Linked DNA regions of Danio rerio. The protein of the gene in region 2 interacts with the protein of the main gene of each other region in a pairwise test. Links are inferred from orthologs where the notes say so. Each region holds a gene or a part of one and is shown on either strand. Other genes may lie near its edges.

The links.
Region 1: the proteins of alas1 (region 2) and poldip2 interact in binary tests that used the Homo sapiens proteins (3 or more experiments, as listed by UniProt). The two-hybrid records come from large-scale screens. The link is inferred for Danio rerio from reciprocal best matches to the Homo sapiens genes ALAS1 and POLDIP2.
Region 3: the proteins of alas1 (region 2) and ppl interact in binary tests that used the Homo sapiens proteins (3 or more experiments, as listed by UniProt). The two-hybrid records come from large-scale screens. The link is inferred for Danio rerio from reciprocal best matches to the Homo sapiens genes ALAS1 and PPL.

Annotation. Positions count from the first base shown.
Region 1 is NC_133190.1:27,160,729-27,166,801, reverse strand, and holds part of poldip2 (polymerase delta-interacting protein 2), read right to left. Parts: intron 5,598-6,073; coding exon 5,490-5,597; intron 5,405-5,489; coding exon 5,268-5,404; intron 2,843-5,267; coding exon 2,816-2,842; intron 2,708-2,815; coding exon 2,582-2,707; intron 2,489-2,581; coding exon 2,409-2,488; intron 1-2,408. UniProt on the Homo sapiens protein: Involved in DNA damage tolerance by regulating translesion synthesis (TLS) of templates carrying DNA damage lesions such as 8oxoG and abasic sites.
Region 2 is NC_133186.1:318,612-325,186, forward strand, and holds the start of alas1 (5-aminolevulinate synthase, non-specific, mitochondrial), read right to left. Parts: upstream 4,436-6,575; 5' UTR 4,298-4,435; intron 1,782-4,297; 5' UTR 1,762-1,781; coding exon of another isoform or gene 1,566-1,761; intron 465-1,565; coding exon of another isoform or gene 288-464; intron 1-287.
Region 3 is NC_133178.1:35,308,898-35,314,342, forward strand, and holds the end of ppl (periplakin), read right to left. Parts: intron 4,763-5,445; coding exon 4,670-4,762; intron 4,566-4,669; coding exon 1,896-4,565; 3' UTR 1,451-1,895; downstream 1-1,450. UniProt on the Homo sapiens protein: Component of the cornified envelope of keratinocytes. May link the cornified envelope to desmosomes and intermediate filaments. May act as a localization signal in PKB/AKT-mediated signaling.

The DNA.
Region 1 (6,073 bases), on a different chromosome or scaffold from region 2:
TATAAATAGAAATAAATAAATAAAATTCACACAAAAATATATTCAAAGTTAAATATGATTTTTCAGTTAAATTAAAAAATATATATATTTAAAATACTAAATAAGATATTTTTATTTTAAGATTCTTCCTGGTGGTGCATTTTTAAAAATGTCCATTAAAAGTACTCTCCTTATAAATTTTTTGGCTAATGGTATTCAGACTTCCAAATTCCAACAGAATATGTTCCATGGTAAGAGCAGCTTGGCAGTAATTACGTTTACGTGGTGCTTCGTTATTCAGTATATACAAATGAGTCAACCTAGAATGTCCAATTCATATTATACTGGCATAATAGCCTTAGTTAACTGGTACAGTCTGGTGACTAAATTTGAATTAGTGACTGCTAAAAAAAATTAAGCTGAAAAATAGACTAACCATAACAAAACAGCATGATATATACAGTACAAAAAGACATTTCGATAAATGAAAAACACAAAGACAAATTAACAATAATAATAAACAAATGAAAATTCCCTGACTCTTAATTTCTGGAATAGAAATGATATTCCAGAAATCCCATGACCAGTGATAACCCTGTTCAAACAACCCGTAACCCGTAACAAACAATGCAATGATGTTATTCATGGAGACAATCCTTTTATGCAAGGGATCACTTATTTTTCATCAAATGAAAAGCTTGATAATGAAACATTTGTTCTGGTGACTGAAATCACATCCCTGTATTTTGCATTGCATACAATAGTTAACAGCACATTTATGATTTGTAATAAATTAAAGCATTCACAAACCTGTAACTCACCAAATAAAAACATCAATTGAAAGACATATTTTAAAAAACTAGTTTTATTAATGATTATGATTTTTAGTGGTTCAATAAAGTCACTATTAAAGTTAAATATGTTTACTTGGAGTTAACTAACAGCTGTGCAGATTCTCCCATTAAGTTTGTTTTATTGTCCATGCACATTTTACCCTGATTTTGTGTACATGCCACATTTATAAGTGAGAACCCTGGAGAGCAGCAGCTTTCTTTCTCTGCTCTGATAGCTACTAAACTACACAAAAACTTGCTTTTTAGATCTTTTTTTTTTTTTTTACCTTACAACCCACTAACAATAGGCCTGTCAAATTAAGGTGAGTTTGAATGCTAAATTCTTGTTGTTTGTAACATGTAAGAGCTTGTTGTTTCCTAACAAGACAATAGCCCCTTTCACACAGTGATACTGGTAAATATCTGGAAAATTTCCGGAACGACTTTACCGGTATATTCAAAAAAGCGCTGTTCACACAGGCGAGGACGTTACGGAAATTTTCCGGAAAATAGCATTCACACATACATTCCAAAATACCGGTAAATTCTGACATCATTCAACACAAATGAGCTTTAAACGGCTGCGCTTGTATTTGTAAACATTTGACTAAATTACAAACTCTGTGGATGATCAATATTGTGAACAACTTTCGCAGGATCACTTTCGCATGTCGAGATGTTCATAATATGTGCGTGTGCAGGCGCTCACAGGCTGTTTCACAGGCACACGCAAAGCTTGGAAGGTAAACAAACAACGGCTTATCATAAGCATCTCATCGATGATTATTTACACAGTTGGCATTAAGAAGAACATATAAACGTGATCGGACTAACTTCTAGCAGCTAAATGTGTCTGGAAAAATATTCAAAGGCTTTTATTCTCATAAACCACGTGGACGTAAATGCGTCTGACTGTTGTGATTGGCTAAAGCAGACGTCTCACGTCAGCACGTTCTAGACGTGCACGCGCTTATTACGGCAATCTTCCTTCTGCATTCACACAGCGCAGCATTCCGGCAAATTGCCGGTAATGTTACAACTTCTCTTTCCGGAAAATAGCCAGAACGAATTTACCGGTATTTTCAAAAAGGACCTGTTCACACATACAACCTTTCCGTCTGTATGTGTGAAAGGGGCTAATGACTGCAGTTTTTAAAGGGATAGCTTGTTTTAAAAATGTTTTTTGTTTAAATCTCAAAGTGATGGTGCCCACTGATTTCCATTATGTGGATTCTAGAAGTTGGACAAAGGACAATGTTCCTGGTTATAATCTTCCTAATAGTCTACCCAAGATATTCTACTGAGGGTGTGTAAATTAACTGGAAATTTTCATTTTACTGTGAAGACTCTCTTTAAATAAGATGTGTTTTCATCTAAAAGGTCAGAATTAACAAAGGAATGTTCTTTTTTTTTTTGCATCGTATTGTGATTTACATATCATAGCAACACCCTACATCAAAGGCATTGTGCCAAAAACAGAATATTGTGTAGTCTAAACCCCACATTATTCAAAATTAAGCTAATTTCTTCTATTAATGCTTCTATTAAATATTAAGCTAGAATAACGCATATATGTCAACATGTTGATAATCTCACCACATGTGTCCACTGGGTGCTTGAAGTGAAACATGACTGCTGTACTGAAACGCCGGCTGTTCTCTTGACAAAACAGGCTCCTGGTGAGATAATGATGAATTAACATTTAGCAAACAAATCTTATTTCCATAGTCTTGAATTCTAGATTATGCTTTTGCTAATTAATATTTCACCTTGCCAACCACTCCTCTTCCACGGACTGTTTCCAGAGTCCCAGAAAGACTGAAGATCCTCCAATGTCTTTCCCTGAGCTGAACCACCTCATTGCCCAGGTTCTCCAGACGGATGCAATAACGCCACTGCAGAAAACATCAACATATCATCTTCAACAGGTCACCGATGGCCAGCCTATAAATAGCCCTTTTATTTAGTCATTACAAATGCCATAATCAGGTAATTTTGCTTACCCAATACACATGGGAGTTCTGAGCTTCCTGTAGACATACAAAAACAAACATAAATCAAGACCATGTTCATTTTAAAATTAAAGTACAGTAAATAAATATACAGAATGTATGTATTCGATGATGCATTTAATTGATCAAAAACTATAGTACATATTTAAATTAAAACAAAATATTTCTATTTCAAATAATATATTTTGTATTAAATTTTCTATTCATCACATTTTTTTAAAATACATAAAGTAAACAGTATAATTGATAACATTAAAGAGTTCCTATTAATGGTTTTTGATAATGAACTTCCATGCAGTGTAACACAGCACTAAGAGAATGAAAACATCCAGCAGATGATCAGTTTAAAACTGAAAGTCCACTATGTTTAAAACTATTGATTCTTCAACAAAATAGTTGACTTTCTTTAACAGAATATTCGACTCAAGAGTTGAATGAATGAATTGAGCTGGGTTCGGATCTTTTGCTATGAATGCGTTGACGTTGATGCGGTAAATCACCAAATATGTAGTACTGGATCCAGTGTAATATGAACACAACTTTCACTTCAGACACTAGCAGAGAGCGGAGATTACGGGACTGATTATGAGCGAAGGTAACGATTACTAACAGATGGAGATTCGGCTGCGGAGAATAAAGGGTTAAAGTTCATTTTCACAACACCACAGTATAGCCAAAATTAGCGCAGTGTTTGTTCCTGTCATTTTTCAGATTTTTGATACAATAACCTACGCTGCAACGTGGGATTCGCCGGCAGTTTGCTATTAAAGGAAGGAGCAGCAGAGACTATTATGTATGGGGCTTTAACAGTTACTGACAGTCCCTGTCAAAGTCTGACACAGTTCACATGGACCAATTTCTTCTTCCTCCGGATCATAACATGTAAGGGCGCACTCACACTATGTACAGTTGCCTTGAACCGCGCCGAAGCACGCTTGTCCCCCTCTCGTCTTCCCCGGCGGACCGCACTTACATTGCATTCAGGCCTGAGCACGCTTATGTCATTGATGATGGCGTTCAGCACAGTGGAGATTTCTTAAGTTATATCGTTTTAGTGGTTTGGGATGTGGTGACACGCAGTCAAAAATTTCGCCCAACAGATCAGCCACCTTTGACGCTCAGAAACAATCATAAAGTCCTTGTGCAGCAAGAATTATGAGGTTTGCTGAAGGTGCAACTGTCATGCAGTGGGGGGTTTGTGTCTTTAATAATCTACAACAGTTCAGGTTCATTGAACAGTAAGAATGATTAATAAATCCATATGAAACGGTCCCTTAAAAGTCATGTCTCGGTCATGTCTTTGCACTTACACTACAAGTGTACCACGCCTGAGCCCACGTGAACTGTGCTCTGGCACAACATTTCCAACCGGGCCAGGACCAGCCAACTGAACCATGCCTGAGCCTGATTCAGAGCACTCACACTTCTCAAATGATACGCTGGACGGGCCTGAGCACGGTTTGAATAGCATAGTGTGAGTTCGCCCTTACAGTGTTTCCCTTTAGGATTTTTTCCAGCTGTGGCGGCAGACCTTTTACACAAATCAACCAACTACCTATGGCGTTATTTTAATGACAAATGGAGAAATGTCGTGAGCGCAGAATTACAAGTCGAGATCGCATTTATGCAATACGAGCATGCAAATCTTTCAGCTTGCGTGCCAATTTCCTCTGCTTGTGCACAAAACCTCTTGCACACTCCCTCAAATATACGCAGCTCAAGCACAGATCCGTGCAACTTATTTATTATAGATCACTGCTTGTACTCTATCTCTCTGGTTAAACCTCCATGAGGCTATTCACATATTGCGTCCAAAATCACATTGAAAACACGACGCATGCTTCTTCCTTTACCGATTTAAATGCGTTTCTGAACTCGCAATCCTCTGCTGTTTGTCATTGCTATTGCCACGCTGAGTGCAGTCGACTAGTCACAACAGACTGTGTCATCGGTACAATCAGCACAGATTAGCTTTGTGCTAAGGAGGGGTTTGGGAACAAATGAGTAGCTGAACGATTCATATGGGAGTTGTTGGGATAATTGGGTAAAAATAAATGCATATTATAAAACAATAAAAGAGTTTTTGGCCTTGCATGCATATTATAATAGAGGCTTTTTAAAAGGATTTCTGAATGATCATGTGACACTGAAGACTGGAGTAACAGTTACTGAAAACTCAGCACTGCCATCACACGAATGCATTGAATTTTTTTAAATAAACAGAATTTAAAATACATTTCAACAACTGTATTATATACAAATAAATAATACAGTTACATTCATCTGTAAAACCTCACAATATTACAATTTCTACTGTGCTTTTGTACACAATGCAGCCTTGGTGAGCATAAGGGACCTCTTTTATAAATAATCTTACAGGCCACAAACTTTTTTTAAGGTTGTGAACATTTAATCTGCAATCCACTTAAAACTCTATTCTTACTCTCATGCCCATGTAGAAGGGGATGACGGTGACACGGATGTTCTCTGTGGTTTCCCGGTGCACATCTGACAGCTCCAGCCAGGGATGGTTCTTCTCCTGCCAGGCCCGTAAGGTATCTCTCGCAGTAAACGGAGGATCTAAAGAAACAAAATAAATGCAATGAAATTTATTATCAGACTCAGGACTGATATTAATACTAATGAGAAGATGATGACTAGTTACTTCTGGAGGGGTTAAACATTAGGAAACGTTCAAACAGCTCATGCTGGATAGGAACTTGTTCAGTGGAGTTGTAAGGCAGGATGTCTTCGTGACTCACATAATCCAGACCTGAAACACATGCAGGCATACAAATGAAAGAATGAGTGATAAATGGAGCTTTCATAAAAAAAAAAAAAAAATCAGGCCTCTATTTAAAGGGGGGATTTTTATTTAGAGAAATAAACTGACAATTAATTAATTAATTTAAGAAATATTCACAATTATGCCAATGAGTTATCTGCTTTAGTGTTTTAGATTTTTAAAAAATGTTGGAAAAACAGCCACTGATTTCATTTTTTGTTCCTATTATGGATGTCAATGACTGCTTTACCCCCCAACATTGTTCAGAAAATCTTATTTTGTGTTCAACAGAGGAAAAAAAATTATAAAAGTTTAGAAAGCGAGAGAGTTTTGAATCTATTGCCACATCAGCTTCTAGCTATGTTATAGGGGAAAAAAAGATCACATTTACATTTAACAAATTTTATAAATATCACTTTTCTATAATTATAAAAACATTTTAACAATTAAAAGTCATCAACAGC
Region 2 (6,575 bases):
ACATCTGAAAACAAGGAATTTTAGCCTTTTAAATGACACAATTTCTTTACGTTTAGAATATAATATTATGGTTTAAAATGCAACTGTAAACAGTCCCATAGGTTGAAGAGTAAATGGATTGTGCTCTCTTACTCTAGCTAAAAACATGTATTCAGAAGACTTAGACCTTTCCAACGATATATAGCCTGTCATGATTAGATTAGGAGTTCATTGCAGTATAGTGCAGTACACTGAAGCATCCTGCTATCGGGCAGTGACAGTTCAGGGGTTAAAGCAGCTCCTCAAACCTTTCTGCACGGTGCGAACTTCAGAAACATCCTCCTGGAGAGCCATGCTGGCCTGCCGGACCACACCGCTGTTCTTCTGGCTCATCTCTGCTGCCAGAAACGGGCATTTAGAGGCGGAGGCATGCCCGGCTGCAGGAGCAGGGTGACCAGCGGGCACTGCAGGAGCATCACTGGCTTCTGAATAAAAAATAAATAAATAAAAAAAAAAAAGAGGAGATTCATCAGCATAAATGAGTTTACCCTATTTTGAAATGGAATATTTTATACATCTCTTAAAGAATATCGACAATATATATTCATAGATTTGAACAAAACTTAACATATTGATTAAAGTCATATTTTAGTCATTGAACATCTTTAAAAATATCAAGATAATGCATTTAAATGTGCGCTAAATTTAGCCAAAATGTAATGTAATGTATTTTTTATTTAGTGCCATGTCAGCAACCAAGGCTATCTTCATGGCAGGAATCTTTCAACAATAAATATACAATTTAAAAATCAACAAACAAAATAAAACATAAATTAAATAAGATTTTTTGTGTTAATACATGATAAAAATTCTAAAATCTTTTCGGGTGTTACTTTGTCAAAAATGTCCTTAAAAGAGTTAATTTCATAAAAAGTCCTTCTGGAATCAGTAAAAGCAGGACAGTCCAGTAAAATATGCTTTACAGTAAGATGAGTTTTGCAATACAAACACTGAGTAGGGTTTTCACCTTGGAGCAAAAAACCATGTGTTATTCTCGTATGCCCAATACGACATCTGGTAAAAACTACTTGATCAAATCGATTCTTAAAATGTCTTAAAATTCTGTGTGAAACTTCAGGTTGGATTTCATGTAAAATTTAGCCAAAAAAAGAACATATCAATTTGGGATACTAATTTTTAGGCTGTTTTTTTGGCTCCAGATTTGGCTTCAGCACAGACTAATTCAATGTATCTGCATAAATATTTTACTGTAAAGCATTCTGTAGACAAGATCAGTTTAAATGCGAGATTTGTGAGGGGTGAACGCATGTATGACACAGTCACAGGTCTTTAAAACACATCCAAATAAAACTCTTTCACTGTTAAACTCCCCAAATCACATGCTCTGAACGGTGCTTTCTGAATAATTATAATCCCAACATTGGAGATTCTGTGACGTGGCTATTGCAGACTCGTACATCACGATATCGATGCTGAAACCATATATTGCGCAGCCTTATCATGCAGTTTTATATTTAAATAATGACGTTTCTACAATTTTTCCCTTATAACAGCACGTGACTGACCATGTCCGGCCGCAGAGGAGTCTTCCACCTTCTGGAAGCTGGCGCTAGAGGAGCAGAGCGGGCGCAGCAGGGGTCTGGAGGCCAGATCCATCATCACAGGACACTTCACCGCATACGCCACCAGAGACTTCCTGGCTTGCTGGAGGAACGTCTGCGGGACGCGGGACAGGAATGGGCAGCGAATGATGGCGTCCATAGCTGACGGTTCAGTGAGGTCTGGAAAACACAGAACAGAGAGCAGGTTAATTACAACTGACTGATTACACAGTGCACTGTCATGGTGATTAACAGCCGGCCGGTGTGAAGGGTTACTGTCACTTTCACATGACTGGAACTGAGCCACAACCTCAGTACTGAGAGTTCAAAAACACACACACACACACACACACACACACACACACACACACACACACACACACACACACACACACACACACACACACACACACACACACACACACACACACACACACACACACACACACAAACAAACAAACAAACAAACAAACACACACAAACACACACAAACAAACAAACACACACAAACAAACAAACACACACAAACAAACACACACACACACACACGTTCGTATATCTCGGTACAGCTGTAGTGATGTTTGTTCTGTACAGTGTGTGTGTATTCTCTCGTCTCCCTCTAAACTCAACGCTCACAGCACACACTCTGCACTTCTACATCTCTAAACACTTCATTCTGTCTGATTTATGAGCATATTTACTTAATTTGGGGCCCTACGGTGACAATTCCCTCAGAGTCTGTGTGCATTCTAGGCATGAGATGATAACCGGTTACAAGGTTTACTGCGGTCTGGAAAAGTCTCGGTATTAAAACCGCACAAATGTTTTTTATACCGTTTCTAAGGTATATGTAGAGTTTTTTTATGTGTTGTAAGGAAATCTGTTTTGAAGATTTTTGAAGATAAAAAAGATTGTAGAAGTCAATGGTTTATTTTAATTATGTAGCCTGACATGTTTACGGTTCCAAAATAATATAAATGTTTCCTAAAATGTAATATATTGTGTTAATTGGGGAAAAAAGTTGTTGTTTTTGACTAAGACAAAATAAAAATAAATGATTATACAGCAGTAAATCACATTACCATTGAGGGAATATAAATTTATATTCCATAGTAATGCAAAGTGTCAGTCTCACAGCACGGCTGTGTCACTTGTTTTCTCTTTTCGGTCAACTGGTCAGGCGGTTTCTGTCTCCAGAACATGATGAGATCAGACCTGAAAAGGCAGTTTACCCTGCCGACAACAACACTTCATTTGCATGCTCGGTTTAGCCATCTCCCCTCATCCTAAGAACACATTATAGACAAAACAGCTTTATCTCAAATCAGACTTGTGATAGAACTTCCAGATTGCAGACCTCCAGTAGGCTCCTGCAGACACTGGGACTTCTTGAAGACGCTGTATGAATGCAGATTAACCAACACGTCTAATGTTGTTATGAAGTCATATTTACATGCCATTTCACACCCAATATGTAAATATGTAAAGCAGTGTAATAAACAACACGTTAAACTAATGTGCGAATATAAAACATACTTTACCGCCTCAACATTAGACACACACACACACACACACACAGTACACTAATACTCCTTAAAGCTGTGTGTGAGCACTCAAACTCAAATCACAGTAAGCCCATTCCACACAGATTTACAGCTGCTCTCAGCTCAGCCCTCATCATCATCATCATCATCATCATCGATACTCATTGAGGTCAAGTTGGTTTTATATTCTCACATGTATTCAGTGGTTCCCTCCCTATATTGTTTACCATGGTACTTTGAATGTTAGGTCAAAATTGGATGTAAGGATCAGACTGTAAACAATGCTGTACTCTGATAGCCATTGGCTGATTATATGATTTCACCATTTAGAATGAGCAAAGAACACTTTTCTGATATTAAATTATTAAAGAGAATGTCCAAATGTGTGAATTTAAAACCAACTTTCCCTCAATCCCATACTCATACGAGTTAAAACAGCAGAAACTGTTTTTATATTCGCACATTCAGACTTTCTCCTTCACAATCTCATTTCAGAAAAGTATTATCAAATTCTAAATAGGGGAATCATATCAGCAGTCAATGACCATCAAAGTGCATTCCAGCATTATTCACGGTCAATTAAACAGTGCTAATGTTGTTTTAGAATTCATATTTAAATGCTCTTTCAGACTCGATATTCAAAATAGAGTGGTAAACAATATAGAGAGCATTAAATGACCCAATGTGTGAAAATAAAACCAACTTGACCTCATTAATTCCTGATGAAGTCAGAGAACAGCGCCGACAGTGACTCACCGATACTGTCAGCTCACCTGCCGGGAAACAGCTGACTTACACACGGAAACTAAACCTCACGTTACACTAACAGTTCACTACTCTGCTACATTACAAATCAATATAGTACAGTACAGTACAGTAATTTAACCTACCGGCTAATGTTAAGAGTTATGATTTCTGCGTCACGTGACGTAACGTTAGCAAACCTGACAGGAACCTGAGGCGTTTTAGCTAAATTTGCTAAATGTACATTAAAAACGACCATCGTATCCTCTACTGAACTCTCTCTACCTTTAATAAGATATAAAACATAAATAAATGCAGATGTACAGTTAATCTGTGGAGTCTTCAGAGGTCAACAGTTAGAAAGCCGCATGATTAAACGCGCCGCGACCTCTAATGAACGCGCCTCACCTCAGTTTCCTCCGAGATCGCGGGTGTGTTCTGTTGGTATCGCTGTCCGGTGGTCGGTTGTTAGTGTTATGCCGTCTCTGGCCTGTTTTCTCAGCCGTAATGAGCGATGTGCGTCGTTATCCTGCACTGAGGACGAACGAGAGGGCGAGCGGCGCTCCGGGATTATATCGCACCAGCGGCCGCAGATCTCGCGATCTTTACGTCAGCAGCCGCGAGGACACGCCTCTCCTTCCGCGCAAACTATGGCGACACCGGTTGTTGCTAGAAGAGATACAGCTGCGGCGAGAAATGAAGTTAACGAGAATTGTATTTTATAAACGTCTACCTTAACCCTCACATTAATGTAAAAACAGTAATTACACCGAGACGAATCATATTGTTTTTTAAACTACCCATTAAATAGTATTTTATTAACGCCTAACCCAACCCTCACGTAAACAGTAGTATACTGAGTTCGTATTGTTTATTAAATGACCCATTAATTGTATTTACAAACTTCTACACCTACCCCAGCCCTCACAGTAATGTAAAATATGAATTATTGTTGTACAGGGTGGGTCATAAAAAGTATGAGTAACCGCAGCTGTATCCCTTCTAGACTGCACCGCCTCAAACCCTGAGCACACGAGGCGGATAATTCCCAGATTGATCAACACGTGTGTTGTGATCAGTATGATACATGTGTCCTCGTGTTTGTTTATGTCATTAATATGAGGAAACTACACCAGAAAGTCAAAGGAAGTGTATAGACGCGCCCTGCTACAGGAATAGCCCAGACATAACTCAGAGTAAAAACAACAGGACTGTTTCCTTAAAGTTTTCAGGGTCAGTTCACACACAAATGTAAATCCCACCATCATTTTCTCATCCTCCACCTCATCAAACCTGTTTATGTCTTCTGTTCAACACAAAGGAAGATATTCTGAAGAATGCTGGAAGATATGTCTGTTCTATTGGAGTCAGCTTTTCCAGCATTATTATATTTGTGTTCAACAGAAGAAAGAAATCATTAAAGTTTACAGCCACTAATAAAGAAACAGCGAAGAACTATTGAGGAAATGTTCGTTTTCAGTTGGTGAACTACTCTGTCCCATTATAAATGAAGCTATAAACTAGATGAACACACTTCTCTTACATGCACTTTGTTGATTTAGAGATTTTTTATAAGTTATAAATATGTAAAATATGTAAATATATAAGCAGGTTTAATAGTTATAATATGTTTAAAAGTGAGATAAAACTGAGGCACATGAAATTCACTTTTAAGTTTTTGTTTTGAATTTGTGTCTGTAAATAAAACCATAATAAACTATTATTGCACAAGTTATACACTATATGCTCATTACACATATATAATTATACACATTTTGCACTGAGCCATAGACATTATTTGCCTGATTAAAAGCTATATTATAGTTCTGTTCCACAATAAATGTTTTAATAAATATTTTTTGTTGGTTTATTTGCAAATTTTCCATCTCTTTGCAGTATTTTCTAAATTATAAAGAGTGATGCAAAAGAGACATATGGAAAATCAGCTGTAAAATAATCAAACAGGAATTTTTGACTTCCTTCATTGTTCAGATGTTTGCACATTTTGACTTATTTGCAGATGTAAACAACATTTTAGAAATGAGTTGTAATGCAAAAACCACTATGGTAATAGTTCATTTATTAGCAGTAGTAGCAGTAATAATAACAATTATTATTATTTATTTTTTACCTACAGTGTATTGTCTAAAGCAGTGGTTCTCAAACTGTGGTACATGTACACTACTGGTACAGGGGCTTATATCTAGTGGTACGTGGAGGAATCACTGAGTAATGAATGGAAAATTGAATCCTATTTTAATCATTTGATGTGTACGATAATGTTCACATATCGTGTCATTTCTACATGCAAGTTTGTTATTTATAATGAAGACGCAAGCAGCATGATGCACTTTCGTATTCCAGGTGTGCCCAGTTAAAACATCTTTTCAGAATGCCGCACCGCGAGTCACGTAACAAGAACTGACCGATCAGCTTCATATTTTGTATGGAATATACATTATATATTATATATATAACATATAATATTGTCAGCTTGAGATCCTCTGAGAAAAACCGGTTCCCCTGTCTACATACAAGTTAATATTTAGATTTTCAAAAGTTTTACAAATATGTCACATGTACATGCAACGTATATGTCATAATTTATTAAAAATTGTATTAACATGAATATGACTCTGTCTCGTTTTTGAACTGTGCAGTGCTGGAGCTGCTTGATTTGGCCTAC
Region 3 (5,445 bases), on a different chromosome or scaffold from region 2:
ATGCATAGTTTTATTTTTTAAAATAAGGTCGTAGAAATTAGAGTGGAAGCGATTTCCGAGTAAAAAATTAATTTACGACAACAATATTTAGAAGCGTACTATTTTTAAAAAGTACGAAAACTCAATGCGTTATATTGAAATGAAACTCTTTTTATTTTATATTAAAAGTTGTTTTATATATAAAACCAAGACTATATTTTAATTGTTTATGTGGTATCCACAGGCCCGCAGCGCGGGGTGGGTTCGGGTGGTTCGAAAGACCCACCCTCTCTGAAAAAGGTCCAGATGTTTTGTCCCATACATGGGCTTATTTGCCCTATTTCGACTGCTATTCCATAGTAAATTGTAAAAAAAAAAATTTAAAAAAATCAAAAAAGGTTTTAAGATTAAGTGGAATTCTGTGTTTGCTGTAAGTTACATAATTTGGGACACCGAATTTGGCATGGCGTGCCATTCTGAAGTCACACCGTGCCACACTCAGCAGAGTAAAATTGAATATGCCAGCTGGTTCGTTATTCGCCTAATAAATGTAAAAAAATTAACAGATTTAATTTTTTTTTGTATTTTAAAAATAAATATCGTTCTCATATTTATTTATTCTAAATCTTTAGGAAATGCTTTGGGTACATCAAAAACTAGTTACGATGTCCGTTTGACAAACTAATCCAGCAAAAATAGTGCTAATCTTTAAAATGCAGTATTAACCTCATAATTAGATAGAAAATAAGGTGAATAACTTTTTAGTCCACTTTTTGAGAAATAAAAGAACCAACCCTTGCACCCTGGCTACAGACCTGATACCAACTTTTTAACTTTGAAATGATGTTATATGTGTGGAAGGTGATTATTATGCGTAATAAATTCCCTCAATGCACACCGCATACATAGAAAATATTATATATATATATATATATATATATATATATATATATATATATATATATATATATATATATACACACACATATAATAATATATATTAATTATATTATATATAATTATATTATATATTAATATATAATTATATATTAATTATATTATATATTAATATATATATAATAATATATTAATAATAAATACCACATGAACCTGCTCAGATAGATATTTCTGAAGATAAGTTCTAGGATACAAGCATCTGATTAAAACTAATTTGAAGTTACAAATTGACATCATAATCCACTCACAGGTCAAGTGGTGAGGTCTATTATGCGGTCTATGGGTCACACCCTCAGCCTCATGCTCTTATTTTACATTTACTTATGAAAGATGAAACAATCAATCTATCCAAAAGTAATTTTAATATATTAAACATATTTTCAATATTTTGATGAGCGTAAATGTTGTGAAAAAGTCGATGAAAGACTCAAGTAGATTTTGTGAACTAAAAATGATTGCAAAAAGAGCTTTTACTGCTTTATGATAAAGACGAAGGGAAAGAACACAGCACTCAGGTTTATCCATATTTCATTTTTAATCTCAAATCAAACATGAAAGGAGAACAGATTAATCTGACACAGCTGAAAAAAAAAGTGCATGAAAAGAGACAGATAGGGTCCTTACGTTATCATTAAGGCACACACTTGTATGCATATTTTAGATCAGATTACAGTAAAACTGAACTCGATTTCAGTAAAATATGATCATAGTGTCTCATCTGCTACACTCCAATGAAAACATTTCAGGAATAGCGTTAGAAACATTAACCCAAATTCAGCACCATAACCAAAGAAACACCTTCTTGCATTGGTATAAGAATGCATTTGAAAATAAATACATACTGTATTGAGAAAGGGAATAAAAAAATGCAATTTGGGACTGCAAACTGCATGTTTACTCTAGATCTTAATACTAGTAAACAGAATATAAAATTGGTTGTATTTGTCTAATTAATGGATTCATTTGCCTCTGCCTGACAGCATGACGCCAAACTCTTGGATGCTGATTTCTTTGTTCTGGTACTGTTGCAGTTGACGGTTTGTGATGTTTCCTGCCTTCAGAGCATCTTCAATGGAAAACTTCTTGCCTGATTTTCTGTCGTGAAGAACGGAGGACTCGCCACTTGGACCCTTGACGGTGATCTCCTCCCAATCGCACTCTTGACTTTGAAGGTTGACAAACATTTTCCATTCGATTAGGCCCAGCTTGTAAGCCTCCTCGGGCTTCATCTCCTTTCCGGTGTCTGGATCAATGACGACGATTGAACGGCGGAGGTGACTTTCTCGCTGTTCCCTCTTCACTCGCATTGCAGCCAGACTCTTCTGAAGCTTTTCGATTTCATCGTCCTTCTCCATTCGGATGCGTCTAAGCTCGGCAAGTTCCCGTTGCAAGGATTCCATTCGAATTTCCAAGTTCCTGCTACTCTCAACCGGAGATGACTCAGTGATGTGTCTGGTTTCTGTTGTTGTGATTTCGATTTCAGATTGAAGCTTCCGTAATTCGTTTTGTAGGCGCTGGTTCTCCTGCTGTAACCTGTTGCTTTCGTCACGAATGTAGTCGAGTTCTTTTGATGATTTCGTATTGGTGAATTCCATTTCTGAAAGCTTTGTGTTTAGGGTGACAATCTCTTGGTCCAGCTCACGACGTCGTCTTTCCTCTTCTTCAAGGCTTTTCTTTAGCCTGATAATATCCATCTCAGCATCTGGATCTCGCTCAACTTGGATTTTTTCAGTTCGCACAACTTTCTCACGCACTTCTGTTCTCTCAAGTATCTCCTGCTGTTGCAACAAGGCGTTGAACTCTTTCTCCAAGAGCATGCGCTTGTGCCTCTCCTCTTCAACCTGAAGGCGCAGGATAGAGTGCTCTTTTTCTTGTTGAGGGTCCTGCTGAAGGACAACCTTTTGCTTTACTGTCACCTTTTCTCTGTTTTCCTTGTCCCTGATCTCAAGTTCATTAAGCCGCACTCTCAACCTCTGAATTTCGAGCTCCGCATCCCTGCGGGCTCTACGTTCACGCTCCAGTTCCTCAAGCTGAACATCCAGTTCAGTTTTTTGACGCTGGAGCCTGATCAGCTCTTCTTTCAAGATCTCTCTCTGTTTCTGCTCATTGCTGATATTTAGAGAAAAGGTGTCACATTCAGACTTCAAGAGTGGATCCAGCTCCATCTTCACGACTTCCTGCTGGACAAGTTTCTCCCTCACCTGTGACAAGTCGATCTTCTTGATCCTGATCTTTTCTTCACTGAGGGCCCTTTCATTTTCCAGCTCCAAACGTTTCCTCTGTTCCTCAGCCAGTTTCCGCTTGAGGCTTTCGATCTCCTCCTTGGTTTTAGGATCTTCTCTGTATTGCAGGATTTCATTCACAACCTCTTTGGTCTGAATCTGAGGCTTGGTGTCTTTCCATCTTTGAATCTCGTCTTTGAGTTGGAGTATCTCCATTTCGAACCTCTCTGTTTGGTGGGTTTTGTCCACAATTTCATTTCTGAGTTGCTCCAGCTCTCTTTCTGTTTGTGGGTCAATCTTGTATTTGATGACCTCTTTGATGATCTCTTTGTATTCAATCTGTGGACCTCTGTTTCTCAGCATTGTCAATTCATCCTGAAGGGACCTCAGCTGAAGCTCTGAATCTCTGCACCTTCTCTGCTGCTCCACCAGGTCAAGTCGAAGATTCGCCACCTCTGTTTCTGCCTTTGGATCAGGTCGGACAATCTCACGCACCTTCTCCTGGATAATGACCTTTGACTTCTCTTCCTCCAGGCTGGTGATCTTGCGCTGGAGGTCTGTTCTCTCTCTTAGCGCAGCACTGCGTCTTGTTTTTTCATCTTCGTATTGTCTCCTCAGGTTCTCTACCTCTCTCTCCAAAGCAATATCCTTCTCAACCTTCAGGACTTCCTTGATGGAGATCTTTTCCTCAGCCATTGCCTTTTCCTTTTCAAGACGTCTTAGTCTTTCCTGCAGGAATCGAAGCTCGTCTTCAAGCTCCTTACGGGTTTCTATGTCTTTTTGCTTTCTTTCAAGCAATACTCTGTACTCACTCTCCAGCTGAGGGTCATTTTGAACCTTTATGACTTCCTCCTCTTTGATGATTTCCTGCTCCCTGCTCTTCTCCTCTGCAAGAATAGTCACTTGCTTTCTAATCTGAATGATTTCATTCTCTCTAACCATCTTCATCCGCTTGACCTCCTCCAGCTCTTCTCGTAGTCTCCTGAGTTCTTCCTCCTGTCCCCTGTCCCTCTCAATGCGGAGCACCTCTTTAACTGTGTACTGTTGAGCTCCTTCTTTCATTTCGGTCTCAATCCCACGCAGCTTCACACGGAGGGTGTCCAGTTCACTCTCTAAGATCCGAGTGGTCCTGCTTTCATCCAGGAGCTTCTGCTGAACTCTGTGGTACTCCTCATCCAGTTGAGGGTCCGGCACCTTCTTGACAAGTTCTTTCTTGACAATTGTATCCTGTGGTTTCTGGCCCTCCAGGAAATAGATGTCACTTTGGACACTTTGAATTTCCCTTTCTAGTTGGTCTCTGCGCTGAATTTCTTCCTGGAGCTGATTTTTGATTCTCCAGGGCTCTTCTCCTGGGGCAGACGATCTCACAGTTTGGACATCTTGCCTGACTATTGTAACCTCTGGTTGCTGTAAAGAATTATAAAATATCGCATGCGTTAAAGTAAATGAGCAATCCTTAGACTACTCTATGGTTTGGAATATACATAATACAGAACAATAACATGTTTTACCTGGTTAAGAAGGCTTTGGGCAAATTCTAGGTTCTGCAGTCTCTGCTTGTTCACAGCATTTACTTCGGTGAATTTTGCCTCAATTGCAGATTCCTTCAGAACACAACAATAATGTTTCAGTGACTGTAAAGAGACCTTCTAATCTAAAAAGCTTCAAAAATAGTACTGACTTGAGCATTTCCTGCACGTACGAAAAAAATATCTCAATCAAATTTGTGAAGTGTCACATGGTTAATGCACATTTTCATGCGACTGGAGCAGTTTAACTTCCGTTTACACCAGAGAATCAAAAGGTTAATAAAGTTTGCTTAAATATAAATAAATATATAATAAAGATCTTAAAATGAAGTGTTTTTGTATTGAGTGTGGTGGTCATAGAATAAGTAAAAACAGTGATGGTAACAGTAGTGACCATTGGATAATAAAATGCATTTAAGTATACTGTACATTTGCTTACACACATAGAGGGTGCACTGAAAAGTTTCTGTGACAAATTACAGTGACAATCGCAATGATTATTAAAGTGAATACTGCTCTAAATTAAAGGTTTATTGTTACAATTAATGCTACGAAAAGTAACCATTCCTGTAAAAAACATTTTTTGTCTTGTGCCCAGTAGGCTTACAAGTGTAAAATAAGAGTTTGTAAGTACAGTAACAATCCTAGAACGTGCTAAAGCCTAGACTGATTCTGTTGACAACTGCAGAGATATGTTAATTCAATTTACAAAATTGTGACTTACCCTAAAACATACTTTTCATGCAAAGTGTATAAAT